Anolis sagrei: one gene and its partners. The protein of the gene in region 4 purifies or fractionates together with the protein of the main gene of each other region. This does not show direct contact. Links are inferred from orthologs where the notes say so. Each region holds a gene or a part of one and is shown on either strand. Other genes may lie near its edges.

The links.
Region 1: the proteins of KPNA1 (region 4) and PHAX purify together in Homo sapiens (co-immunoprecipitation; 4 studies listed by BioGRID and IntAct, with this or other methods). This does not show direct contact. The link is inferred for Anolis sagrei from reciprocal best matches to the Homo sapiens genes KPNA1 and PHAX.
Region 2: the proteins of KPNA1 (region 4) and NOP58 purify together in Homo sapiens (affinity purification with mass spectrometry; 3 studies listed by BioGRID and IntAct, with this or other methods). This does not show direct contact. The link is inferred for Anolis sagrei from reciprocal best matches to the Homo sapiens genes KPNA1 and NOP58.
Region 3: the proteins of KPNA1 (region 4) and ANP32E purify together in Homo sapiens (affinity purification with mass spectrometry; 4 studies listed by BioGRID and IntAct, with this or other methods). This does not show direct contact. The link is inferred for Anolis sagrei from reciprocal best matches to the Homo sapiens genes KPNA1 and ANP32E.

What each region holds. Positions count from the first base shown.
Region 1 is NC_090022.1:237,947,780-237,955,378, reverse strand, and holds the start of PHAX (phosphorylated adapter RNA export protein), read left to right. Parts: upstream 1-4,584; 5' UTR 4,585-4,696; coding exon 4,697-4,801; intron 4,802-7,599. UniProt on the Homo sapiens protein: A phosphoprotein adapter involved in the XPO1-mediated U snRNA export from the nucleus.
Region 2 is NC_090021.1:165,264,603-165,272,003, reverse strand, and holds the start of NOP58 (nucleolar protein 58), read right to left. Parts: upstream 3,008-7,401; 5' UTR 2,861-3,007; coding exon 2,816-2,860; intron 1-2,815. UniProt on the Homo sapiens protein: Required for the biogenesis of box C/D snoRNAs such as U3, U8 and U14 snoRNAs. Part of the small subunit (SSU) processome, first precursor of the small eukaryotic ribosomal subunit.
Region 3 is NC_090032.1:5,806,594-5,813,533, reverse strand, and holds the start of ANP32E (acidic leucine-rich nuclear phosphoprotein 32 family member E), read left to right. Parts: upstream 1-3,937; 5' UTR 3,938-4,219; coding exon 4,220-4,273; intron 4,274-6,940. UniProt on the Homo sapiens protein: Histone chaperone that specifically mediates the genome-wide removal of histone H2A.Z/H2AZ1 from the nucleosome: removes H2A.Z/H2AZ1 from its normal sites of deposition, especially from enhancer and insulator regions.
Region 4 is NC_090022.1:170,434,134-170,441,452, reverse strand, and holds the start of KPNA1 (importin subunit alpha-5), read left to right. Parts: upstream 1-4,314; 5' UTR 4,315-4,407; coding exon 4,408-4,564; intron 4,565-7,319. UniProt on the Homo sapiens protein: Functions in nuclear protein import as an adapter protein for nuclear receptor KPNB1. Binds specifically and directly to substrates containing either a simple or bipartite NLS motif.

The DNA of each region.
Region 1 (7,599 bases), about 68 Mb from region 4:
GTTGGCAGAAGCTAGGGCTGACAGCGGAAGCTCACGCCGCTCCCTGGAATCGAACCTGCGACCTTTCGATCAACAAGCTCAGCAGCTCAGTGCTTTAACCCACTGTGCCACTGATAATCCTTAAAAGGGAGTAACCTCCTTTATCTTATTGCTCGCAAATGGAAAGCAGAAGCATGCTACACTGTACTGAAGTGTCTTTGCAGAGCCGATGGTGCTATTAATGTAAGTAAGTATCTCTTTGTACTAATTTGTTTACATAAGAATTTTCAAAATATAACTGGGTGCCACTTAGCATATCTATTATTTTGTCCTCTCTAAATTTAGTAAAAACCACAGAAGTGACTATTACATTTGATTGAATGAAATAACCCCCAAGAAGCCTGATGAAGAGAATTTATTCTTTAAACAAGGACACAAAACACCCGGGGAACCTTGTTGTGTACTCCTAAGTTTGCTGAACACAACACAAATTGTTTCCAAGCTTGATAGTCAATGTGAACTATACTCCCAAGTTTGTGGAACACAACGTGAACATTGTTGAAAACATTATGGACGTATTGAAAGTGTATTCTCAAGTTTACTGAACACAACGTTAACTGTTTTCAAGTTCGATATATTCATTGATATATATGTCCTATGAAATTATTTTGTGAACCTTATATATTTTGTTTGTTTCACTAATGAAGTTTGTCCTGTATGTATTATGAAAGTTACTTAAACTTGTATCTGTACTGAAGCTCATTTCAATAGGACAATTACATATTTACGGCATACATTTCTAGGCAAGAAGAAAAACCGTATGCAAATATCCATCTGAAATTGCTGTGATTGCAAGGTTTAAATAATTTCTTACTAAAACTTGCAATGCCTCTGCTGATATCTATATAATTATGTAGCTAGCTTCCAGTTGTTGTGACATCAGGATTTATTCTGTGCAAAATTTATGCTTGGCCCTTTTATGCAGAAAACAGATGTTTTAAAAAACACAGGAATTATTTATGCATAGATATTTGGCATAAAACAATCTGCAGAATTTTATGCAGATTAAATTCCCAAAAATACTATTTCTATGCAGAAAATAAAACTTTTGCACAAAAATATTTCCTGTGCAGAAAATACTGTTCCTTGCTCAGAAAACAATGTTTCTCTCTCACACTCACACACTCACACACACTACGTGTATGTTTTGCATAGATTAAGGCCTGAGTTGTGAAGATTCTCCTTAATCTTGGATTTTCTTTGTCAGGATTCCCTGACATTTAAGAAACATATTTTGCAGGTATTTAATCACATATTTTTGAATATTCCTTCCATCCCTACTGCCTAAAAGCAGCCTTCAAAACAGCATACATATCAACTTAGTTATGAGAGTGTAATGTCTGCACTGAACAAAACCTAAAATTCTATGATGCTATGGATTTATTCCATATTCGTTGCCCATTAGGATCATGACTTGGGCATCTAGTGTAGAGCAAAAGGAAATGCTTCTGCTTTGTAGCAGGAAAGCTGTAATGCCCTATGCTACCTCTCAGACTTCATTGTCTCTTTGCAAGATGTCAGAGTCAGAACTTGTGAACAAAGTCTCTCTGAAGTTTCCGTGGGGTCACCTGAGTTCATAATCTCTGTGAGGCATCTTGTCAGTTTCAAAGGTTCAGTGCCTGGGCTGCTTTTGGCTTTCGAGGACTTCATTGTGTCAGTGAATGGTAGCCCACGGCAGCAGTGGTCACAAAAGTCTCTTAATTAAGTGAAAACAGAAGCTGCTCTTTAAGTTGATGTCCTTACTTGATCCACCTCTGGAGCAGTGGAAGTGCCAACTGCATCAGAAACTGCATAACTTACAGCCAGCTGGAATCTGCTTGATCTTAGGGACTAAATTAACCTTTTAGGAATAAGACTTGGTCTTAGGGTCATTGGAACTAGGCAAGTGGAACCATCTGAACTGGTTCAAGGGATATTGGGATATAGTGAAAAATATTTCTCAGTGAAATGGATAGACAGTATTAAAATGATGTAAATCTCAGCATAACTGAAGTGTATTTTGTTCAAAGATTTCTAGCAGGTTATGGAAATTATATGGACCTTATCCATTTCCTTTCTATTCCATTTCTGACTTTTAATACTTAGCAGTTATTGTGATAAGCAGCCATGATGGGGCTTGTGACAGTGGTGGAACCGAGAGGAGGGCCTCCCTGGCAGATCTTAGAGCCCACATTGGTTCATGGGGGTGGGCGGGGAGGATGCAATCACGAAAATAGGCAGGACCCGAGCTGTTTAGGGCTTTACAGGTAATAACCTGCACTTTGAATTGGGACTGAATATTTATAGCCAGCCAATGGAGCTGCTTTAGTAGGAGCATCATGTGCTCCCCGTACAAATTTTTGGACCAATTGCAGTTTCCGAGCTTGGTTTAACTTTCGGTTTGCTAGGAAAACTAAATTACCGTGTCAGGAAAGGATGCATGACTAAAAAAGCATGTCACCCAGGGGCGGCTCAACCCATTACGCAAAGTAAGCATTTGCAGTATAGTTGATTTTGCCCAGGGGCGCTCTTGAGGCGCTCTTGGTGGAAAATAGACCTTGACATATGCGAGTTGTAGTTACTGGGATGTATAATTCACCTACAATCAAAGAGCATTCTGAACTCCACCAATGATGGAATTGAACCAAATATGGCACACAGAACTCCCATGACGAACAGAAAATATATATCAGTGATTTGTTGGGGGGTGGGGGGGCAAAAAACTGTTTGCTTACCGTTGAAAATTACCTAGGGCTGCCTCTGAATTGTCACCAATATGAAAAACTTGGAAAGCTCTGCACAAATGTTTGGGTCCAGGGCCCCTGTGTATGCCAACATCCTTGAGAGCTCAAAACCCATTATATGCAATGGTGTCATAAAATGGTGTCCCTTATATAAAACAGCAAACAAGCAAGACTGGGAGAGAGAGTCTGAGGGCCATTTCATAGGAGGAAAGGTATACCTATACATCAAAATCATGTATTCCAATCACGAATTTCGATTTACATTCTATTGCTACTATAGGTCAATTCTATATCTGTTTGGTGCATGCTTTATATATATATATATATATATATTGGCACAAAAGTATTAAGAATGTATGAAGTCATCATCATATGTTTGCGTTATGTGTGTGTGTGTGTGTATTGTTCATATGTATTTAACTTTAATAATAATAAACTTTATTTGTATCTTGCCTCATCTCAGTGATTGTATGATAGCGGGGTCCCCCTGTTATGAGCGTTATGCAGATGCCGGAAAGGTGGTTGTGAATAAGGGGAGGAATCACATGGTCGAGAGAGAGGGTTGGAGTGAGAGTGGGGAGAGCAGGACACTGAGGGCGGGAAGATACTTTGAGGTTGCATTTAAAGGAAGGATAGAAAGGAGGGAAGGGTTAGGGTTGGGGTTACAGTTATGGTTTAGGGTTAGAGTTACAGTTAGGGTTGGGGCTAGGGTTTAGAGTTGGGGCTATGGTTAAGATTTTACTATTAAAGAACTCGTACATTCATTCTATATTATCTGTGTCCGGCCTGTCTTAGATTACCTCAGTCGCTCACTCCACCCTCCTGTCTCAGTCACGTGTTCCATTCTGCGCTGCACAAACAGCGCTCCAGAAGGAGCGAAGCGGAAACAGCAAAACGCTCATAGCAGGGGGACCCAGCTATCATACAATCACCCTCATCTCCCTGATGGGGACTCAGAGCGGTTAACAACATACAGCAGCAAACATTCAATGCCGTACGGTGCAACCAACAAATAATAAACTACCATAAATTAAATAATAACATATTAAACATCGACATCAGACAATTTTGTAATAATAATAATTTTATTTCTTACCCACCTCTCTTCATGGCTCGAGGAGGGTTACAGACTTTGATGTACCCCGCCTCGAACTATCAGGAGAAGCAGGTAAGAATAATAAGAATAATAAGAATAATAACAATAGATTTTGCTATGATTTTTATATTATCCTACTGTTTTTATTGTATTGAAATTGTATTTTATGGTCTTGGTACCAACTGTAAACTGTCATGAGTCGCCTGTGGGCTGAGAGGGACAGTATATAAATATAGTAAATAAAATAAATAATAATAATTTCTTTTGCAAATTGCCATTGAGTGCATCTACACTGTAGAATTAATGCAGTTTAGTATCACTTTTAACTGCCATGGCTCAATGCTATGAAATCATGAGAATCTGTTGTTTGCTGCCCATGAAAGCTGAAAACTACAACACCCATGTTTCCCTAATATTGCAGCTTGGTAGGTTAAGAGTAATATCAAACTGCATTAATTCTACTGTATAAAACACCAGGCATGGGCAAACTTGGGCTGTTAGGAATGGTGGGAGTTGAAGTCCAAAACACCTGGAGGGCCGAAGTTTGCCCGTGCCTGAGATACACTCTATTAGAATGAGGAAAGGGTGTTCACAGACGGGCGCCATTCAGGCAGCTCCGCAAAGCAGAACAGGAATGTTAAGCTTAAAGACTCCAACTCCCGGCGTGCCTCGCGTGGGGAGGTGCCACCCGCCGGGCCGGTTCCTCCCCGCGCAAAGCACCATGGGACTCGCAGTTTCTGTTGCGGCGCTTTGCGGAAGGGAAAAGCGCGCGCGGGGCTTGGCCGGCCTCCTTCCTTCTTTCCTTGGCTGGCTGGCTGGCTGACTGAGGGGCGGGAAGATGGCGCTGGAGGCCCGCGGGATGGAGCAGGACGTGGAGGACGGGGAGATTTCCGGCTCGGACTGCGAGATGCCGGTCTCGGCCGCCGCCCGGAGCCCCCAGCAGGTCAGGCCCAGAGGGGAGTTCCCTTTCCCTTCCTCTTCCTTTCACTGCCCTGAGGCTTGGAGGCCTGGGCGGGGAGGAAGAGGAGGAGGAGGATGCTGCTGCTGCTGCTGCAGGAGCCCAGCATTAATGCCCGCCTTCCATGCCGGCTTCAGGGGGGTTTGTCCCTTGTAATGGATGCTCGTCGCGTTCGAAGGCATCAAGCGTGCCCTCGAGGGATGATTTCTCTGAGGGCCCTCCCACACAGCCCTATATCCCAGAATATCAAGGCAGAAAATCCCACAATATCTGCTTTGAGCTGGGTTATCTGAGGCCCCTTCCAGATGGGCTGGGACTACTGGGATGTCATCTGAGGCCCCTTCCAACCTGCTGAATCAAATCCCATATTATCTTCTTTGAACTGGAATATATGGCAGTGTGGACTAGATAACCCAGCTCAAAGTAGATATTGTGGGGTTTTGCGCCTTGATGTTCTGGGTTATATGTCTGTGAGGAAAGGCCTTGAGTCCACATTGCCATATATTCCAGTTCATAGCAGATAATGTGGGATTTTATCCAGCTGTGTGGAAGGGGCCTGAAGGAAGCTTCTCTTCCCACACAGCTCTTAAAGGCCTTCCCTTGAGGCTCCCAGCCTGGGGGCCCTTCCACACAGCCCTATATCCCAGAATATCAAGGCAGAAAATAATAATAATGATCTTTATTTATACCCCACCACCATCTCCACAATGGGGACTCAGGGCGGCTAACATGAGGCCGAGCCCAAACATAATAAAACAAAATAATATACAAGACAATAGAAAATAAACACAGGAAACACATAATACAACAAAATAAAATAAACAATACAAAACGACATATTAAAAATCCCACAATATCCTCTTTGAACTGGGTTATCTGAGTCCACACTCAGATAATGTGGAATTTCCTGCCTTGCTATTCTGGGATGTAGGGTTGTGTGGAAGGGCCCTTGGTCCACACTCAAATAATATGGGATTTTCTGCCTTGATATTTTGGGATGTAGGGCTGTGTGGAAGGGAACTGGGACTCTTCTGCATTGTGGAATTAATGCAGTTCGACACCACTTTTAACTGCTATGGCTCAAGGCTGTGGAATCATGGGAGTTTCAATGTAATGAGGCACCAGCCTTTCTGGCAGAAAAGTAAAACTAGTTCCCATAGTATTGAGATATGTCAGTTACAGCAGAGTCAAACTGCAACAATTCTATAGTGTAGAATGCAACCCAGAAGTGTTTGGGATTTTTCCACGTTTGGATTACCATTTATTTGCATGTTGTTGTTGTATGTATTCTGCCCTGTCTTTCTGAGGGCAGAGTCCAACAACAAAGAGGCAAACATTCACGGCCTGAACCAACAATAAATGCAATACTAAACCACCCAAAATAAACCAACATACACCAAAATAAACCAAAGTATACCAAATTAAACCCGCATGTAAAATCAAATTAGAACTTAAATTGTAATAAAATAAAAATTTAATACTATTTAAAAATAAATCAATACAAGTTTCATGGATTTGTTTAATATTTTGTCATTAGGGATTTCTAGGTCCTTCAGCACAACTCTGGTCATCTTCTGGCAGAAGGGAACTATGGAAGAAAGTCATGTTGGAGACTGTAGACATGCCTTTTCTAGGCATTTAGATGTCATCCAGAACAATTCCACTGGAAAGAATCCTGCTGGAAGGCCTAAGGGGCATCTGCACTGTAAAATCATTGCAGTTTGTCACCACAGCCATGACTCAATGGTATGAAATCATGAGAGTTTGGTGGGACATCAGTATTCTTTGGCAAAGAAGGCTAAAAACTTGTAAAACCTACAATTCCCACCGTTCCATAGCATTAAGACATGGCAATTAAAGTAGTGTCAAACTGCATTAATTTTACAGTGTAGATTCACCCCTAGAGATTTTTAAAAGGTGTTCTTTTTGTCAGATTACAAAATATAAACTTTTATAAATCTTTTTATTCATGTCCCCCCCCCTCCCTTTCATGGGTGCCCTGTGCCCCTAACCTAGGTTTGACTGGGGGTACATAATGAGTTATCTTGGAAATGCGACCAGGATATCTAAACATGAAATTTCTTTATGTTTTATATACATCTTAGTCACATAACCTGAGGGGTCATATTATATACATTTTTTAAAAAAATTGTGCATTGAGACAAAGTTTGTGTACATTGAACTGCCTGAAAGCAAGGGTGCCATTATCTCAGCCACCCATGTGGGCGATTTTGGAGTATTTAGGAATTCTGGATAAAGGGTATTTAACCTGTACAGGCCTGTGCATAGTGACAGCTATCTTGTTAAGTCCAGAGTACAGATAACAGTGTCTAACCGTACATAGGTTTTATGTGAATTTATACAGGCAGTCCCAGAGTTACAAACATCTGACTTACAAACAACTCATAATTAAGAACGGGGTTGAGACAACAGAAAGTGAGAAAAATATACTCCTAAGGATGGAAATTATTTCCTGAAAGAGTTATCATAGGAAGAGGTGTCCTCACTGAAGCTTTAGCACTGATCTTTATTTGCACAACAAGCCACATTTTCCAAAATCCAATTATCACAGGGACAGAAAGTAAGGTGAAATCTCCTGAACAGGGCCAAATCTGCTGTCACTATCCCTATATGTGGCTATATAGTAATTTATTAATTACATTTAAATGCTGTCTTTCCTCCAATGATCTAAAAGCAGCAAAGATAGTCCTCTTTCTCACTTTCGCAACAATCCATTAATATATGATTGACAAAAAGAGAAAGTATGTATGGGACTACTGGGT
Region 2 (7,401 bases), on a different chromosome or scaffold from region 4:
TTACATCACAGTTGGATCACTAGCAAAATCCCAATCAAGTAGGTTGCCATACACAAAATCTGTATTTTTGTTTACCTAGCTACTGTATACAAAACAGCATTCCGAGCACAAAGAAAAACTAAAACTAGGTATGGTGGCAGAAATTGATGCAACCTTCTACACTGTCACATAAAATCCAGGTTATTGGCTTTGAATTGGATTATATGGCAGTATACTCATATAATCCAGTTCAAAGCAGGTAATGTGGAGTATCTGCTCTGATATTCTGGACTATATGGCAATGTAGAAGAGGCTAGTGATGATACAAACCATGAGGCCCCATCTTCACTGCCATATAATCCCTTATCTGAATGGCTCCTTCTATATTGCCCTATATTCAAGGTCCTGATTCCAGATCACCCAATTTAATCTGGATTACTGCATGAGTCTCCACTGCCAGATAATTTGGGACAAGCAAATAATCTGGGACCAGATCCTGGGATATAGGGCAGTGTGGAAGGAGCCCTAGTGATTAAGATGGAGGATATAATAAAGTTTCACCCCAGTTAAACAGCCTTGGCGGAATCCTGGGAGTTGTAGTTTAGCAAGCCTCCTCTGCCAAGGAGTGTTAGGCATTCATTAAACTTAAAATCTCAGGACTTCATTGCATTGAGCCATGGCAGTTAAAGTGGGGTCAAGTTACATTAATTCTGCAGTGTAGATTCACCCTGTGAAACCCATGGTTCAAATTTCTACTCTGCCCTGAATTCTACAGCTCATTTTAGAGAACCATATATATATGGTTCTCTAAAATGAGCTGTAGAATTCAGGGCAGAGTAGAAATTTGAACCATGGGTACCATTTGAACCATATATATATGGTTCTCTAAAATGAGCTGTAGAATTCAGGGCAGAGTAGAAATTTGAACCATGGGTACCATTTGAACCATATATATATGGTTCTCTAAAATGAGCTGTAGAATTCAGGGCAGAGTAGAAATTTGAACCATGGGTTTCACAGGGTGAATCTACACTGCAGAATTAATGTAACTTGACCCCACTTTAACTGCCATGGCTCAATGCAATGAAGTCCTGAGATTTAAATTTAATGAATTTATATAAAGTTAGTTTGTTTCAGTTTCTGTCTTACAATAGAGAAGATACATGTACTTGCCTGAGGAGACTGCTAGCTTGAATTAAGACAGTATAATGTACTGCAGACTTCCTCAAATGGTAGCCCTCCACCCATTTGGGCCACCAACTTCCAGAATCCCTCACCACTGAACAAGCTGGATAGGACTTCTGAGGGGTGGAGGGCTGATATTTGAGGAGGCCTGCTGTACAGTGTGCCCTTAGTATGTGTTGGGTCTTTGGTTCCAGAACATTCTGTCTGTGGGTCCTTCCACACAGCCATATAACCCGGAATATCATGGTTGATAATCTACAGTATCTGCTTTGAACTGGGGTTATCTGACTTAACACTGCCGTATAACCCAGTTCAATGTGGATTTTATACAGCTGTGTGGAAGGAGCCCTGGAACAGCAAAGCAGATAATCCACAATCCAGTTTAAAGCAAACCGTATTATCTGAGTTGTTGTAGGTTTTTTCGGGCTGTATGGCGATAGTCTAGAGGCATTCTCTCTTGACGTTTCACCTGCATCTATGGCAAGCATCCTCAGAGGTAGTGAGTTCTGTTGGAACTAGGAAAAAGGGTTTATATATCTGTGGAATAACCAGGGTGAGACAAAGGACTCTTGACTGCTGGAGCTAGGTGTGAATGTTTCAACTGAGCACCTTGATTACCATACAATGGGCTGACTGTGCCTGGAGCAAACTTTTGTTGAGGGGTGATTAGATGTCCTTGTTTGTTTCCTCTCTGTTGTTTTGCTGTTGTAATTTTAGAGTTTTTTAATACTGGTAGTCAGATTTTGTTCATTTTCATGGTTTCCTCCTTTCTGTTGAAATTGTCCACATGCTTGTGTATTTCAATGGCTTCTCTGTGTAGTCTGACATGGTGGTTGTGAGAGTAGTCCAGCATTTCTGTGTTCTCAAATAATATGCTGTGTCCAGGTTGGTTCATCAGGTGCTCTGCTCAGGCTGACTTCTCTGGTTGAAGCAGTCTGCAGTGCCTTTCATGTTCCTTGATTCGTGTTTGGGCGCTGCGTTTGTGTATTATCTGAGTCCATACTGCCATATACTCCAACTCAATGTGGATTTTGTACAGCTGTGTGGAAGGAGCCCCAGAATATAAAGGCAGATAATCCACAATCCAGTTTAAAGCAAACCATATTATCTGAGTCCGTACTGCCATATACCCCAGCTCAATGTGGATTTTATACAGCTGTGTGGAAGGAGGCCTGTAAGAGCAGTGGAACTCTCTGCCTCGGAATGTGGTGAAAGATTGGATGGCCATCTGTCGGGGTAGTTTGATTGTGCTTTTCCTGCATGGCAGAAGGGGGTTGAACTAGAAGGCCAACTCTATTACTCCCTTTGGACACCAAAATCCGTGGATGCTCAGGCCCCATTACATACAATGGGGTCGCAAAATGGTGTGTCCCTGAGATTAAAGGGCAAACCTCCAGGTTTGATTTGGGAATGTTTTCAAAAGGTTGAATCCGTGAATATGGAGGACCAACTGTACTGACTCTGGACATATTATACAACAATACTACTCCCAAGGAAAGCTGAAGTTATTTCAAATTAGTACTGAGGCGGGAAGGGAAAGCCCTTCCCGGATGTAAAGGCCTTCCCTCCCCTCAGACGCCTCTAAAGCTGGATTGCCCAGCCAATTCTACCCGGCCGAGGGAGCACATGGCGGAGGAAGCGCGGCGCTCACCTTGAAAATGGCGTACCCGGCCGCCGTCTCGAAGAGAACCAGCATGGCGGCGCCGGCCCGAAGACGGAGCTCCCCAGGAACAACCAAGAGAGAGCCGGGCGCGCGAGCCCCCGACTGCCAGGTACGAAGCACGCGCGCAAAGAAACAGGCGCACGAGAGCGGAAATGGCGCCTCGCCGGAAATGCTTCTCGCGGGGCCTTCTGGGAAAGCTGCTGAGGGTGGAAGTGGGCGGGGACATAAAAAAAAAAACCCTAAGGGTTACATCTTCATAGTGTCCGACCTTGACGTCGGGTTCTCGAGTCGAGATTCAATACAAACTACTAACAGGACTTTTTTTGTGTATTTATTTAAAGAAAGACATGATCTTGTGAGGGGAAAAAAGCAAATAAATACAAATTTAGCGAAATTGCAGCCACGCTTTGGCGAAGGGCGCTTTTGAGAATAGAGATGAAGAGAGTGGGATTATTCCAAAATTGAGATCCCACGACCTGATCCCAGAATATCTGCTTTGAATTGGATTAAGTGAGTCTACACCGCCAGAAAATCTGGGATAAACAGATAATCTGGGATCAGATCCTGGAATATTGCACACTAGCCGTCCCCTGCCATGCGTAGCTGTGGCCCAGTCTGGTGATCTGGAAAATAAAGTAATAAGAAAGTTACTTTCTCACTACCTCTGAGGACGCCATAGATGCAGGCAAAACGTCAGGAGAGAATGCCTCTAGACCATGGCCATATAGCCCGAAAAAACCTACAACAACCCAGTGATTCCGGCCGCGAAAGCCTTCGACAATACAGGGTTAGTCAAAATGAATAGGCCAATAAGAAAATTAATTTTAGACGAATGTATGTTTATTGTAACCAAACTACAGCTACGTATCGACAGATAAATTATCAAAGTTTTGTCTCACCTTCAGAGATGTTCGATATGGGCGCCCCGTGTGACACGGCAGACGTCCAAGCGATAGTCCAGTTCATTCCACATCCGTTGCAGCACATCTGACGTAATGGCATCGAATGCAGCACATATGCGCTGTTTTAAGTCGTCCAAGGTCAGCGGTAATGGAGGTCGGAACACAGTGTCTTTCACATACCCCCAGAAAGAAAAGTCGCATGGTGTGAGGTCGGGGGACCTGGGGGGCCACAGGAGGAATGGAAGATCAGTCACTCCAGCACGGCCAATCCAACGTCTGGGAAGGTGTTCGTTGAGGTACTCGCATACACTGTTGTGCCAATGCGGAGGGGCACCGTCCTGTTGGAATACGAAATCGGGCACTTTCTCTTCTAACTGTGGCATCAACCATTCAGACAACATGTCAGCGTACACTATGCCTGTTACGGTTTTCTCCGCGAAAAAGAATGGGCCAAACACGTGACGGTTGGTTATTGCACAGAAAACGTTTACCTTCGGCGAATCCCTTACATGTTCCAATACGGCATGAGGATTTTCAGATCCCCAAAAGCGGAGATTATGCCTATTGACCTTCCCGCACAGGTGAAACGTTGCCTCGTCACTGAAGACCAGTCTGTTGGCAAAGCCTTCCTCCTCTAGTCTTCGCTGCATTGATTCGCAAAAATCGTGTCGTTTCGAATAGTCACCTTTTTTCAAAGCCTGCACCATTTGCAATTTATACGGCTTGAACTGCAAACGTTTGCGTAACACGCGCCACACAGTTTTTTGCGGAACGTTCAATTCCATGGCAACACGATTTGTCGACTTCTGGGGACTTCGTTGAAAGGATGCACGAATGGATTCCACTGTGTCTTCGGAGACACGCGGTCGTCCTGTGGTTTTACCCTTGCATAAGCAGCCCGTCTCCTCAAATTGCTTTACCCACCTCGCAATGGAATGTCGATGAGGTGGTTCCTTGCCATACTTGGCTCGAAATTCTCGCTGGACCGTAATTACTGACATTGTTTTAGCAAATGTCATCACACAAAACGCCTTCTCTTTGCCTGATTCCGCCATTTTGAAAACAGCGACTCCTAGCGACGCCTAGCGGCATTAACGTACATGTGTGTTGCTCAAAAAAACTTTGATAGTTTATCTGTCGCTACGTAGCTGTGGTTTGGTTACAGTAAACATACATTCGGCTACAATTAATTTTCTTATTGGCCTATTCATTTTGACTAACCCTGTATAATGAGTAATGATTATAAAGTATATAAAGTATATAAATAAAGTAATGAGAAAGTGTTGGTTTCTAATATATGTCATTTCTTTCTGCTTGTGGGTAAACAGTATTTTATTACGTTTTCTTGCCCTGGTGAAGGGAGTTGGACTGGATAGCCTTAAGTATTTTCTATTGGCCATTTTCTATTGGTTCCGTGTGGGAAGTTTGCCCTGATTCTGTCATTCGTGATGTTCAGAATTCTCTTTGATTGTAGGTGAACTGTGAATCCCTGTTGTCTCCTGCTGCCTTGTTATTAGCAATGCTTCTTAAGGCCCATTCAACCTCACTCCTCAGGATATCTGGTTCTAATTCACTCACCACACCATCAAAGCTGTCATCGATATTATTATCCTTCCTGTACAGATGTTCTGTATAGTCTCGCCACCTTCTCTTGATCTCTTCAGCTTCTGTTAAATCCTTGCCATCTTTGTTTTTGATCATGCCCATTTTTACCTGAAATTTACCTCCGATGTTTCTAATTTTCTGGAAGAGGTTTCTTGGACGTCCTACTCTATTGTCTTCTTCCACTTCCATGCATTGCTTGTTTCAAAATAGTTCCTTATCTCTTCTGGATAACCTCTGGAATTGTCTATGGCTGGATGGCTCTTTGTCAGGAGGACTTTGATTAAGTTTTCTTGCCCTGATGAAGGGAGTTGGATTGGATGGTCTTAAGTATTTTCCGTTGGTCATGAGGGTTTTGTGTGAGAAGTTTGCCCCGATTCAGTTGCTCGTGGGGTTCAGAATGCTCTTTGATTGTAGGTGAACTGTGAATCCCAGTGACTACAACTCCCAAATGTCAAGGTCTATTTTCCCCAAACTCCATCTGTGTTCATATTTGGGCGTACTGAGTGCTTGTGCCAAGTTTGGTCCAGATCCATCATTGTTTGAGTCCACAGTGCTGTCTGGATGTAGGTGAACTACAACTCCCAAACTGTTGGGGTTCAGCCTGAGTTTGAACTTGAACCTGATTCTCTGTTTGTTCCTCCTGATGCTAATGAAAGTATATTTACTGATGCTAGTGGAAATGTACCTTTTGATGCCAATGCTCCTGAAATTAGTGAGGAAGAAACTGCTGTAGGTTTGGAAAATGCCAATGTTCCTGAAATTAGTGAGGAAGGAACTTCTGTAGATTTGGAAAATGAAAGTACCAGTGTTCATGAGAACGTTTCAGAGGGAGACCTTGAAATTTCCCTCCCTTCTTCACCTGCTAACTGTAATGACAACAGAAGGGGCCAAATTTGGGAAGACAGAAGTAAATCACTCAGTTTGCGTCGATCCTCCCTAATTCAAGAATTAAAAACATTGGCTTCAAAAAAGAAGGGCGGTTCACGGAACGAATTCTTGAGTTTTAATTGCACGCCGGGCTGATTGTCTCAGTTCAGGCTTCGTTTCAGAATTGATTAAGACCTTGGCAGTTCTCCCGGTTCCCTGGCCATAGTTTGGGAAGATTCTAGGATATCAAGTACGGTTAGTGGATTGCTAACAGGTTCCAGTATATCCCAGTGAGGCTTTTGGTTTTGCTTTGTCCATTTAAATTAATGTTTGCTGATTTTGCTGTGGCTTTTGACTTGCATTTTTCCTTTATTTTGTAACCATTTTTCTTCAATAAAAAAGGATTGTTTTTCACAGCCAAGTGTGGTGGATAGTAATCTTAGGGCCTCGTTCCCTGCTCTGGATTGCAACACAAACTCAAGGTCAATGCCCAACAAACCCTTTCAATATTTTCTGTTGGTCATGGGAGTTCTGTGTCCCGAGTTTGGCTCAATTCCATCATTGGTGGAATTCAGAATGCTCTTTGGTTGTAGGTGAACTATAAATCCCAGCAACTACAACTCCCAAATGACAAAATCATAATTTTTTGAGTGTGATGGTCACTCCTTGTGTAGTGAGACGTTTTGTTGCCAAATTTGGTGTGATTTTGTTCATTGGTTCTTTTGTTTTTAAGGTACTCATTATGCACAGAGCATTTATATATAGATAAATTATTATTATGAGGGTTACTCCATTTCTTCAGTGTTCCTCATGTCCATCGTAGTAAATCTGGTGGTCATCTGTTATGGAGTGGCCTATTTCAATCCATTTCAGTTCACTGACCCCCAGAATGTCTATCTTTAGTCTTGACATCTCACCAATAACAATATCCAGTTTGCCATGGCTCATAGATCTTACATTCCAGATTCCTAGAGTGTGCTGATCTGTAGAACATCGGATTTGTTGTTCACCTCCAGCACCGTCGGCCCCTAGACTTCCTTTCAGCTTTGAGCTACCTGCATCATCACAACTGGGGCTAGTTGAATTTATCCTCTGTTCCTCACCAGTAGAATTTTGACTATCTTCCAACCTGGGAGTCCCATCTTCCGATGGTATACCGACATATCTCTGGTTGTACTGATCCATTTCGTTTTCATCACA
Region 3 (6,940 bases), on a different chromosome or scaffold from region 4:
ACAATCAAAGAGCACTCTGAACCCAGCCCAAACTTGGCACACTACCTACATGGCCAACACTGAATACTGCTGGGTTTGGGGGGGGGGGGCTGTTTTTGAATTCTGGGAGTTGTAGTTCACCAACACCAAAAATGAAGAGAAGGGCAGGTCTTCTCTACCAAAAGGGTTCCTAAGACCCCTTAGTTCACCTTCATAAGTGAGTTATATTAATTGTACTGTTTTCTTTGCTTGCTGTTTTGTTTTTACTGATGTGTTGTTGGGCTTGGCCTCATGTAAGCCACCCCGAGTCCCCTTGAGGAGATGGTGGTGGGGTATAAATAAAGTTATTATTATTATTATTATTATTATTATTATGCAATCAAAAAGCATTCGGAATCCCACCAATGATAGAATTGGGCCAAACTTCCCACACAGAACTCCCATGACCAACAGAAAATATTGTGTTTTCTGATGGTCTTTGGCAACCCCTCTGACACCCCCTTGTGACCCCCTCAGGGGTCCCGACCCCCAGGTTGAGAAACGCTAGCTTAGCCCTTCATCCAGTCCTTTCCTGTTTCTGTAACTTTAGTCCTCTTGATAACACTCTGACTATTTTGGACTGTAACTATCATAAAACACAGCCTATGATCAGGAATTTTGGGAGCTGAAGTCCAAAGGTTAGAATCAGGGCTGTAAAACCATAAGCCCCTGTGAAGATTTGTGGCCCTACAGCGCCACCTCCTCGAATTAAAACACATTACAAAAATAAAGGTACACTTCAGTGAAGTCAATGCACTTCTGGACACGATTCCTCTGACAGAAAACTTGGTACCGACTGAGCATCCTTTACTCAGAATCCCAAGATCCGAAATACTCCAAATTTGTCCGTGTGAGTAGCTAAGAGAGCGACTCCTTTGCTTTCTGATAGTTCAATAGACCCAAACATGGTTTCTTGTACAAATTTTTAAAAAAACTGTGTATAAAATGACCTATATTTTTAGATTACTATGTGAAACATTAAAGCGATTTGATGGTTAGATTTGGGTGGAAAGTCCATGGTGGGAGAAAGAATTCACACCTAGCTCCAACAGACAAGAGTTCTTTATCCCATCCTGGACTTTCCACAGATATATAAACCTAATTTTCCTAGTTTCCAACAGACATCACAACCTCTGAGGATGCCTGCCATAGATGTGGGGGAAACTTCAGGAGAGAGTGCTTCTAGAACAGGGGCCCTCAAACTTTTAAAACAGAGGGCCAGGTCACAGTCCTTCAAACTGTTGGAGGGCCAGATTATAATTTGCAACCCCCCTCCCCCCAAAAAAAACCATGAATGAATTGCTGTGCACACTGCACATATCTTGTTTGTAGGGGAAAAAAATACTTAAAACAATACAATAATTTAAATGAAGAACAATTTAAAAAATATAAACTTATTACTATTTCAATGGGAAGTGTGGGCCTGCTTTTGGCTGATGAGATGGGATTGTTGCTGTTGTTGTGTGCTTTCAAGTTGTTTCAGATTTAGACTGACCCTGAGCAAGGACCGGGTAAATGACCTTGAAGGGCTGTATCTGGCCCCCAGGCCTTAGTTTGAGGATCCCTGGTCTAGACCATGGCCATACAGCCCGAAAAAAGCTACAACAACCCACCGACTGAACAACTGAACAACACCACCCCAGCCATTCCACAGATATATAAACCCATGGTCCTAATTCCAACAGACCTCACTACCTCTGAGGATGCTTGCCATAGATGCAGGCGAAACGTCAGGAGAGAATGCCTCTAGAACATGGCCATATAGCCCGAAATAACCCACAAGAACCTAGATTGAACAACAAATTAGCATAGCACAGGAGACAAGGTGGAACTTAAGTAAGAATAGCCTTGCAGCTTCAAAGCCTGGCTGCTTCCTGCCTGAGGGGGGGTCCGTTGCTGGGAGGTGTTAGCTGGTCCTGGTTGTTTCAAGCAGCCAGGCTTTGATAAGGATATTGATAAGCTTCTCTGCTCACAAAAGAGGCTCAGGGAAGAAGACCAGATTTGATTTTATTTGTCGTGTCAGAGCAACCAGTCCATTATATTACATTTCTAACAGAACAAAGCAAACAAACAGAAAATTTCACACAACTTGTGAGTTTGGTAGCTGGTTAAATGTCCTTTGACCAGTATCTGGCCACTTGGAGTGCTTCCGGTGTTGCTGCAAGAAGGTCCTCCATGGTGCATGTGGCAGGGCTCAGGTTGCATTGCAGCAGGTGGTCAGTGGTTTGCTCTTCTCCGCACTCGCATGTCGAGGATTCTACTTTGTAGTCCCATTTCTGAAGGTTGGCTATGCATCTCGTGGTGCCAGAGCGCAGTCTGTGCAATGCCTTCCAAGTCGCCCAGTCCTCTGTGTGCCCAGGAGGGAGTCTCTCATTTGGTATTATTATTATTAACTTTTATTATTTGTACCCCACTAGCATCTCCCGAAGGACTCGATGTGGCTTACAAAGGCCAAGGCCTCAAAGCACAACACAACAATACAACACCTAAAGCAAATTAAAAACAAAGCAATATTAACGACATGCAATAAACAATACATCAAGACACTATGAAAACTGGGCCAGGATTAAAACTGGGGTACAGGATTAAATGGTATCAGCCATTGGTTGAGGTTCTGGGTTTGAGCCTGCCACTTTTGGACTGTCGTTTGCTGAGGTGTTCCGGCATGCAATAAATAAGCTGGAACATTATTTTAGACTACTGCAACGCTTAGACTACTGCAACGCTCTCTACGTGGGGTTGCCTTTGAAGATGGCCCGGAAGCTCCAATTAGTCCAACGCTCGGCAGCCATGATACTAACTGGAGCGGAGCGCAGGGAGCATACAACTCCTCTGCTGCACCAGCTCCACTGGCTGCTGATCTGCTACCGGGCTCAATTCAAAGTGCTGGCGTTGGCCTTTAAAGCCCTAAACGGTTCTGGCCCAACTTACCTATCCGAACGTATCTCGGCCTATCAGCCCACCAGGACCCTAAGATCTTCGGGGGGGGGGGGGCTGCTCTCTATCCCGCCTGCTTCACAGGTGCGGCTGGCGGGGACGAGAGACAGGGCCTTTTCTGTGGTGGCCCCACGGCTATGGAACGCCCTCCCCATGGAGGTAAGATCAGCCCCCTCATTGATGGTATTCCGGAAAAGACTAAAAACCTGGATGTTCGAGCAGGCGTTCGGTTAACTCAGTGCAATAAGTGTAATGATTGAAGGACTGGCAATTTGGACGACGACACTGGATCGCGATTTTAGTCAAGAGATGAATTGGATTGTTTATAGATATATGTACTGTGGATTGGAGCCCCCGGTGGCGCAGTGGGTTAAAGCACTGAGCTGCTGAGCTTGTTGATCGAAAGGTCGCAGGTTCGATTCCGGGGAGCGGTGTGAGCTTCCGTTGTCAGCCCTAGCTTCTGCCAACCTAGCAGTTCGAAAACATGCAAATGTGAGTAGATCAATAGGTACCGCTCCATCGGGAAGGTAACAGCGCTCCATGCAGTCATGCTGGCCACATGACCTTGGAGGTGTCTACGGACAACGCTGGCTCTTCGGCTTAGAAATGGAGATGAGCATCACACCCCAGAGTCAGACATGACTGGACTTAATGTCAGGGGACTACCTTTACTACTGTGGATTGTGTTTTTATGCTTTTAAACTGTATACTGTTGTTTGTTATAAGTTGTTGTAAACCGCGTTGAGTCGCCGACTGGGCTGAGAAACGGCGGTATATAAGTATAGCAAATAAATAAATAATAAATAAACATCTTCTCTGCTCACAAAAGAGGCTCAGGGAAGAAGTGCAGATGGAGGAGGCGCTTGCTTGACGAGCAGGCTGAGTGTCCAATGGCGCGGAGCCGGGGGCGGGGCGCTACCTCCTCCAATGGGGTCTTCCCTAGGCGGGCTGTCCTCCCTCCCCCTCCCTCTGGTGGGCGGGGCTTCTGGCAGGGGGCCCCATGCGTGGTGTCATGGAGGCTCAGTCCGCGAGCGGCCATTGAAGGGAGCGGAGCTGCGCGTTCGGCACAAACAGCGGGAGGAGGAGGAGGAGGAAGAAGGAGCCGCCGCCTCGAGGGCCATTTTCCTTTCCTAAACTCCTCGTTATTCTTTCCAGCCCGAAAGAGAACTCCTGCTTGTTATAATCCGGATTATTTTTGCCCTCCGGACTTCGGAGGCCTAGCCTAAAGAAGGGGGAGACCAAGAAGAAGGAGAAGAGGAGCAGGATGGAGATGAAGAAGCGCATCAATTTGGAGTTGAGGAACCGCGCGCCGGAGAAGGTGAGCCTTGGCCTCCCTCCCTGTCTCGCTTTCGACTCGCATTCGCCATGGCAGACGCCCCTGCCTTCCTTCCTGCCTTCCGTCCTTCGACGCCAAGCCCTCCTAAATATGTCTGGATATGCGAATGTGCGCATTTGTGTTGTTTTGTTTGCGTTTCTCTCCTCTTTCGGGGGCCTTCTTTCCGTGTCCCCCCCCCCCCCCAAATAGTGTTTTCATGGCCTGAATCACTGGTTTTGCTGTGAGTTTTCCGGGCTGTGTGGCCATATTCTAGCAGCATTCTCTCCTGACGTTTCGCCCACATCCATGCCAGGCATTCTCAGAGGTTGTGAGGTTGCAGGTCTAAAAATTCACATTAATCCATTATTATTATTATTATTATTATTATTATTATTATTATTATTGGATTGTGATACAATTGTGATTATTATTATTATTATTATTAGGTTGCTTTGATATAATTGTTGTTGTTCTTATTATTGGGTTGCTGTGAGTGCTGTCTGGCCACGATGTAGCAGCACTCTCTCCTGACGTTTCGCCCAAAATTCACAGCAACCCATTATTATTGTTATCGTTATTATTATTGTTATTATTATTATTATTATGTTGCTTTGATATAACTTTGATTATTATTATCATTATTATTAGTATTGGGTTGTGATATAATTGTGATTATTATTATTATTATTATTGGGTTGGTGTGAGTTTGGCCATGTTCCAGCAGCACTCTCTCCTGACGTTTCGCCCACATCGATGGCAGGCACCCTCAGAGGTTGTGAGGTTTCCAGGTCTCAAAATTCACACCAATCCATTATCATTATTATTATTATTGGGTTGCTTTGATATAATTTTGATTATTATTATTATTATCATTATTATTGTTATTGGATTGTGATATAATTGTGATTATTATTATCATTATTATTATTATTGGGTTGCTGTGAGTTTTCAGGTCTGTCTGGCCTCGTCCCAGCAGCATTCTCTACTGACGTTTCTCCCCCATCTATGGCAGGTTGTGAGGTCTGTTGGAAACTAGGAAAATTGGGTTTATATGTCTGTGGAATGAATGATGCCCAGGGTGGGAGAAAGAACTCTTGTCTGCTTGAGGCATGTGTGAAGGTTGCAACTGTCCACCTTGATTAACACTGAATGGCCTTGCAGCATCAAAGCCTGGCTGCTTCCTGCCTGGGGAAATCCTTTGTTGGGAAGTAGGTGGGTGGGAGAAAAAACTCTTGTCTGCTTGAGGCACATGTGAATGTTGCAACTAGCCACCTTGATTGGCACTGAATGGCCTTGCAGCTTCAAAGCCTGGCTGCTTCCTGCCTGGGTGAATCCATTATTATTATCATTATTATGATTATTATTAGTGTCTTGTTGAAGGCTTTCATGACCGGAATCACTGGGTTGCTGTGAGTTTTCAGGTCTGTCTGGCCATGTTCCAGCAGCATTCTTTCCTGACGTTTCTCCCCCATCTATGGCAGGCATCCTCAAAGATTGGGAGGTTTCCAGTTCTGAAAATTCACAGCAACCCATTATGATGATGATGATGATGATTATTATTATTATTGGGTTGCTGCGGGTTTTCGGGTCTGTCCGGCTACGTCCCAGCAGCATTCTCTCCTGACGTTTCGCCCACATCCATGGCAGGCATCCTCAGAGGTTGAAGGGGGTCTGTTGGAAACTAGGCAAGCGTGGCAAAGCCTTGCAGCTTCAAAGCCTGGCTGGTTCCTGCCTGGGGGGAATCCTTTGTTGGGAGGTGCTTATGTGGCCACTTTCCAGCAGCATTCTCTCCTGACGTTTCGCCCACATCCATGGCAGGCCTCCTCAGAGGTTGAAGGGGGTCTGTTGGAAACTAGGCAAGCGTGGCGAAGCCTTGCAGCTTCAAGACTTGGCTGATTCCTGCCTGGGGGGAGAAATCCTTTGTTGGGAGGTGCTTATGTTTTGGAAGAGATTGAGAGACGGATGGAGAGAGAGAAAGGCTTCCTTTGGCTCCCATCTTCTAGATTTGTTGTTGTTGTTGTTGTTTACTGCCTCCAAAGTCCAAAATATTTGCCTCTTTAACCCTCTCGGGCAGGCGTGGGCCAACTTTGGCCCTCCAGGTGTTTTGGACTCCAACTCCCACAATTCCTAACAGCCTACCGGCCTCCAAAGTCCAAAATATTTGCCTCTTTAATCCTCTAGGGCAGGCATGGGCCAACTTTGGCCCTCCAGGTGTTTTGGACTCCAACTCCCACAATTCCTAACAGCCGGTAGGCTGTTAGGAATTGTGGGAGTTGGAGTCCAAAACACCCGGAGGGCCAAAGTTGGCCCATGCCTGCCCTAGAGAGTCTCCTTCGCGTCTCAATGATTGGAATTATTTAATCCGAGCTCAAAAGTGCGCCTTCAACGACAACGTTCCCGTTGTCACTTTTTTTTGGTCCAATTTCGGCACATTCTCCGCGACCTACGACGACCATCATCCACAATCCTACGCTGTTTAGGGGTGTCTTTTTAATCTGACTTTTCCTGGCTTGTTTGGATTTTGGGCAATCAATCTATATATAAATAAAAATTTAATGTTTGTTTGTGGCATTAACATAACTCCAAAACCACTGGGCGAATCGACACCAAATTCGGACACAAGACACCGATCAGGCCGACGTGTCACCATCTCTCAGAAAAACACAGCAA
Region 4 (7,319 bases):
AGATGGGGGGAGGGGTTCCCTATTTGTCCGATTGGCTCTCAACCAAACCCATTTTTTGTCAAGATCTGTCTCAAAAGATTCTGAACACTGGTGATTTCTGCCTGTCTAGTGATTTCACCACCAGCAGCCTTTTTGTGACATGCTCTATAAAATGAAAGATCTAGCCTCTGGTGTTCAGGAAGAGATAGCGCTTGTATTCCTCAGGGATTGGGGCAACCGTCATAATCTTGTCATCTAACATAGACCAATCTGCCTTTCTGAAGTTGAATCGAACTTCCTGAGCTCTTACAGCTGGAAACAACTGGCATATGATCGGCCAATGCTGTGTGTTTAATGTTGGTGATCCCACTGATTGATGCACAATACTGTCGCTCACGAGCAGGTTTGGGTTATATCCTCAGTACCATCTCATACTGTTGTAGGATGATGGGAACTTATGATCATGAATAAGCAATAGTTTATGCAATTCAGCCCAGGAAAAAACAGCCTCTCCATTTTTATACTCCTGTGCATAGCCCCCTACAGCTATTAAAGTCACCAATTACTACCGCCCTTTGATGCCTATCAAAGTTCTCAGGAGAGGAGAAACAAAACTCTTCATTTGGGGGCTTATATAGAGAGGTAATTGTGATATTACTAAGCTCTACTGTTATAACCTCTCTATCAGGCATGGGCAAACTTAGGCCCTCCAGGTGTTTTGAACTTCAACTCCCATAATTCCTAACAGCCATAATTCCTGTCACTCCTTTCTACCTGCTACTAAGGAGGCTGTTCAGGTCCTGAACCGGTGCTTGGCCGCTGTTACGGTCCAAATGTCCAAATCTGTCACTGTTTTTGTAGAAGTCCAAAATGCCTGGAGGGCCAAAGTTTGCCCATACCTGCTCTACATTGTTTTCTCCAGTATTGTGGGCACTGCTGACTTTGAAGCTTAGTTTTACAAAGCCAGAACTTCCATACTGCACATGTGGTCTTTCCGCCACTAAGATCATTCCTGGAACTTTTGGTCATTTCTGTTGATTATCTCTGTGTGTTTCTTGGACACAAAAGAAATTTTGCAGCAAGAAAAAAAAATTACCAGCTGTTAGGATGTCTGGGAGTTGAAGGCCAAAACATCTGGGGACCCACAGGTTGAGAACCACTGATCTAACTGAGCCAAGATAAATGTGATGTTTCTTGGACACAAAACATCACATTTATCTTGGCTCAGTTCATAAAGCAACAGTTCATTGGTAGCTGACATGCTTTTGATGATAATTGAGATTATTGTCAAAGCTGGTCCTGAAAAGGTTTGCTTGTTTGTATACACCAGCCATTGTATACACAGTGTCATCTGTACGTGGATGATGTCCAACTCTGTCACTCCTTTTTACCTGCTACTAAGGAGGCTGTTCAGGTCCTGAACCAGTGCTTGGCCGCTGTTACGGTCCAAATGTCCAAATCTGTCACTCCTTCTCACCTGTCACCAAGGAGGCTGTCCAGACCTTGAACCGGTGCTTGGCCGCTGTGTCGGACTGGATGAGAGCTAATAAATTGAAACTGAATCCAGACAAGACAGAGGTACAACTGGTCAGTCACAAGGCCGAACAAGGCATAGGGTTACAGTCTGTGTTAGATGGGGTAACACTCCCCCTGAAGATGCAGGTTCGCAGCTTGGGAGTGATCCTGGACTCATTGCTGAGCCTGGAACCCCAGGTCTCAGCGGTGGCCGGGAGAGCCTCTGCACAATTAAAACTTGTGCCCCAGCTGCACCCGTACGTGGAGAAGTCTGATCTGGCCATAGTGGTCCACGTTCTTGTTACATCCCGAATAGATTACTGCAACGCACTCTATGTGGGGTTGCCTTTGAAGACTGTTCGGAAACTTCAGTTAGTCCAGCGGGCGGCAACCAGATTACTCACCAGAGCGTCATACAGAGAGCATACCACCCCTCTGCTATGTCAGCTCCACTGGCTGCCGATCCAGTTCCGAGCACAATTCAGAGTGCTGGTTTTGACCTACAAAACCCTATACGGCTCCGGTCTGGCGTACCTGTCCGAACGCATTTCCCTCTACGTCCCACCTCAGAATCTGAGATCATCTGGGGAGGCCCTGCTCTCGACCCCACCTCTATCACAAGTGAGGCTGGTGGGGACAAGGAGCAAGGCCTTCTCGGTCGTGGCCCCTCACCTGTGGAATTCGCTCCCGGGTGAGATCAGACCAGCAACATCCCTCCTCTCCTTTAGAAGGAAATTAAAAACGTGGTTATGGGACCAGGCCTTCGGGCAACCCGGCAGCTAAGGACAATGGACTACTAGAATTAACAGGACTGACAATGTGGAATTGAAACTATGGACTCTGAGACAGCGAACGCTGAATGCTAAACTGGTTTATTGACGTGTTGTAGAACTGAGAACCGACCGTTTAATTGTTTTTAACTTTAATTGCTGCTATACTGTTTTTATTGTTGTATTGTTTTGTATTGATGCCGGCATCGAATTGTGCCTTTGTAAGCCGCTCTGAGTCCCCCCCGGGGTGAGAAGGGCGGGGTAGAAGTGTCTGAAATAAAAAATAAATAAAACACCGGCTCTATATAGGCATTTAGCCTTGTGGGGGGTAAGTTCTTTCCAGTTAATTATTTTTTGAGTGGAGAACATAAATTGGACTGTTAGGTGTCTCGTGTCCAAATTTGGTGTCAATTCCCCCAGTGGTTTCTGAGTTCTGTGAATAGCACAAACGAACATTACATTTTTATTTATATAGATTATCAGATAGATAGATAGAAGATTGTTATTATTATTATTATTTGCCATTGAACGTTTGCCTTTTTATGTGTTGTAAGCCACCCTCTGGGGAGATAGGCAGAGAAGAACTAAAGTTTTAATTCATTTACTCCACAAGGATGATAAAAACATCAAATCATCCGGGTGTCTCCTGGGCAACGTCCTTGCAGAGGGCCAATTCTCTTGCACCAGAAGCGACTTGCAGTCACTCCTGACACATGCGCCTTTCACCTTAAGAACAGACAAGCATCCCAAGCTCTGAGGATTACCTGGGAAGGAATCCCACTGGAGCATTGCAACACACCCAAATACCTGGGAGTCACTCTGGACCGTGCTCTGACCTACAAGAAGCACTGCGTGAACATCAAACAAAAAGTAGAAACATTCGAAAGCTGACTGGCACAACCTGGGGATCACAACCAGACACAGTGAAGACATCTGTCCTTGCACTATGCTACTCTGCTGCTGAGTATGCATGCCCAGTGTGGAACACATCTCACCACACTAAAACAGTAGATGTGGCTTTTAATGAGACATGCTGCATTATCACAGGGTGTCTGCGCCCCACACCACTGGAGAAATTACACTGCTTAGCCGGTATTGCACCACCTGACATCCGCCGGGAAGTAGCAGCCAATAGTGAAAGGACCAAGGCAGAGACATCTCCAGCTCATCCCCTGTTTGGGTATCAGCCAGCACATCAACAACTTAAATCAAGACATAGTTTTCTTAGATCTACAGAGACACTCGCTGGAACACCCCAGCAAGCGAGAGTCCAAAAGAGGCAGGCCCAAACCCAGCACCTCAATCCGTGGGTGATACGAGATGAAAGACTCCCCCCTGGGCACTCAGAAGACTGGGCGACTTGGAAGGCGCTGAACAGACAGCGCTCTGGCACCATGAGATGCAGAGCCAACCTTCAGAAATGGGGCTACAAAGTGGAATCCTCGACATGCGAGTGCGGAGAAGAGCAAACCACAGACCACCTGCTACAATGCAACCTGAGCCCTGCCACATGCACAATGGAGGACCTTCTTACACCAGAAGCACTCCAAGTGGCCAGATACTAGTCAAAGGACATTTAACCAAATACCAAATTTGCAAAATCTGTGTTTTTTTTTCCTTTTTTTAAAATCTCTGTGTTTGTTTTGCTCTGTTAGAATTGTAATACAATGGTTCTTGATGACACGATAAATAAATAAACTCCTGACACGACAAACAAACAAACAAACTCATTCATTCATACTGCAAGTTGCTTCTAGTGTGAGAGAATCAGCCAGGCCACTTGCCCTGCGAGGCCCTCCCCCTGTCACCGTGGGGCGGGGCGTGGGCAGGGAAGGCGGCTTGCAATGGCGCGTCCTCGCTCTCCAGGGGCTTCAGGGCCGGCCTGGCCTCCCCATTAGAAGGGCCGAGAGGGAGAGACACGGAAGGGAGCGGCTTCCAAGGGCCTCTTTGAGGCGAGTGGCGCTGTCGGCCTGCTCCTCCACCCTTCCCTCCCTCCACAAGAGCAGCACTTCCGGGGTGAGAGAGGGCGGGACACCCCGGCTAGCTCTTCCTCTCCAGGCCGCAACATAACCATAGAGATAAGTAAACAAGCCGAGCGGAGCGGAGCTGAGGAACGTCACGCGCGCACCGGAAGCTGCGCCAAATGGCCGGCCCGGTGGCGCGTGCGCGCTGGGAGCGTGCGCAGCCGGCTTCGCCTGGCGAGGAGAGAGGGGCGCCTTTGCGCGCCGGGGCGGCGGCGGCGGAGGAGGAGGAGGGCCTTGGCGTCGTGGGCCTGGCCGTGGGGCCGGCCGCAAGCGCAGGTGACGGGGCTGGCAAGGCCGCGGCGGAAAGAGGCCTGGGCGTGGGTGTGGGCTGTGGGGCGGAATGGCGGCGGGAGGCCCGGGAGTTGGGGGCGGGGCAGCAAGGCCACGCCAGGCCACCAGGCAGCTGCTCCTCACCGTCCCGCCCACCCACCCACCTACCTACCCACCACCCGCTTTCAGGGCAAAATCTTCATCACTCAACTGTCATCCACCGGAGATGCCAGGCTCTGGGCCTCTTAGGGCACTTCCAGACAGGCCCTATATCCCAGGATCTGATCCCAGGTTTTCTGTTTATCCCAGATTATTTGGTAGTGCGGACTCAAATAGTCGAATTTAAAGCAGAAATCCTGGGATCAGATCCCGGGAGATTGGGCCTGTCTGGAAGGGCCCTGAGAGGCCATTCCACACAGCCATATAATCCAGAATATCAAGGCAGAAAACTCAATGTATTGTCAAAGGCTTTCATGGCCGGAATCACTGGGTTGTTGTAGGTTTTTTCGGGCTATATGGCCATGTTTTCGGGCTATATGGCCAACATACATTATATAGGCTGGGATCTTTAGTATTATTATAATTACTTATACAAATGAAATTATATAGTTCCCCCTCGAATGGATCCATGCTCTAGTGCAGTGTTTCTCAACCTGGGGGTCGGGACCCCTGGGTGGGTCGTGAGGGGGTTTCAGAGGGGTCGCCAAAGACCATGAGAAAACACATATTTCTCATGGTCTTAGGAACCCTTTTGGTAGAGAAGGCTGAAGATCTCTCCGCCTGTCCTCATCCTTTTTGGTGTTGGTGAATGAAAACTCCCAGAATTCAAAAACAGCCCCCCCCCCCCAATCCCACCAGTAGTTAATGTTGGCCATGTCAGTAGTGTGCCAAGTTTGGTGCAGATCCATTTTGGGCTGGGTTCAGAGTGCTATTTGATTGTAGGTTAACTATAAATCCCAGCAACTACAACTCCCAAATGTCAAGGTCTATTTTCCACAAACTCCACCAGTGTTTGCATTTGGGCATATTGTGTATTCGTGCCAAGTTCGGTCCAGATCCATCATTGCTTGAGTCCACCGTGCTCTCTGGATGTAGGTGAACTACAACTCCAAAACTCAAGATCAACGCCCAACAAATCCTTCCAGTACTTTCTCTTGGTCTTGGGAGTTCTGTGTGTCAAATTTGGCTCGATTCCTTTGTTGGTGGAGTTCAGAATGCTTTTTGATTATAGGTTAGCAACTACAACTCCCAAATGACAAAATGAATCCCCTCCAACCCCACCAGTATTCAAATTTGGTCATATGGGGTATTTGTGCCAAATTTGGTCCAGTGAATGAAAATACATCCTGCATATCAAATATTTACATTACAATTCGTAACAGTAGCAAAATTACAGTTACGAAGTACTAACAGAAATAATGTTATGGTTGGGGGTCACCAACACATGAGGAACTGTATTAAGGGGTCGCGGCATTAGGAAGGTTGAGAACCACTGGTCTAGAGGCATTCTCTCCTGACGTTTCGCCTGCATCTATGGCAAGCATCCTCAGAGGTAGTGAGGTCTGTTGGAGTTAGGAAAAAGGGTTTATATACCTGTTGAATGACCAGGACTCTTGTCTGCTGGAGCTAGGTGTGAATGTTTCAACTGATCACCTTGATTAGCATATGATGGCCTGGCAGTGCCTGGAGCCAACTTTTGTTGAGAGGTGATGAGATGTCCTTGTTTGTTTCCTCCCTGTTGTTGTGCTATCAGGCCATTATATGCTGTAAATGAATAAATAAATTAATAACTCTCACACATCTCTTTTGACAGGCCTACCCAGTCAACTTTAAACAATGAGTTTTGCATTTTCATTCTGTTACTGCTGTATTTTGATCTTTGTACCATGTGTTTTACTGTGAATATTTTATAATGGTGTGTTTTGATATAGCTGTTTTATTTATTATTTATTTATTTGCTTTGCTTATATACTGCTGTTCTCAGCCCAGGGGCGACTCACAGCGGTGTACAACATAAGAGGAACAAAATTCAAAACACAGTATCAAAACAATTCACACTTCAGCATTATACAAAAACATCATCATTACTACAGAAACCATTCCACGTCGTCTCATCGTCCAAATCATAAACCAGTATCATTTTCCGTTGTTCCATTCCTATAGTCATTACCAATCATTGCACTTCTTGTTCGAACGCCTTCTTGAACAACCAAGTCTTTAATTTCCTGCGGAATATCATCAGGGAAGGAGCCAGTCTGATGTCCACGGGAAGGGTGTTCCACAGCCAAGGAGCCACCACCGAGAAGGCCCTATCTCTCGTCCCCGCCAGCCATGCTTGTGAAGCAGGCGGGATCGAGAGCAGGGCCTCCCTGGAAGATCTCAAAGTCCTGGTGGGCTCGTAGGTCGAGATGCGGTCGGATAGGTATCTTGGGCCGGAACCGTTTAAGGCTTTATAGGCCAACGCTTGTTTTGTTGCATGCATTTTATGTGGATGTGTTTTGACTGTGCCCACCTCAAGCTGTTAGGAGAAGCAAGTAACAAATACAAATTATTATTATTATTATTATTATTATTAGTGCTATAATTAGTATTCTTATTAATAGTGTTTACCATTTTCCTACCATTGTCAGAGACACTTCAGGCAAAAGTCGCAAGTGGAGATTTACACATTTTAGGGCATTAGAGGCATTTGGTTAACAAGAAATTATGCTGCAGTAATTAATGTGATGAACCCTCAATCATAATTGCTGTTGCTTCAGAG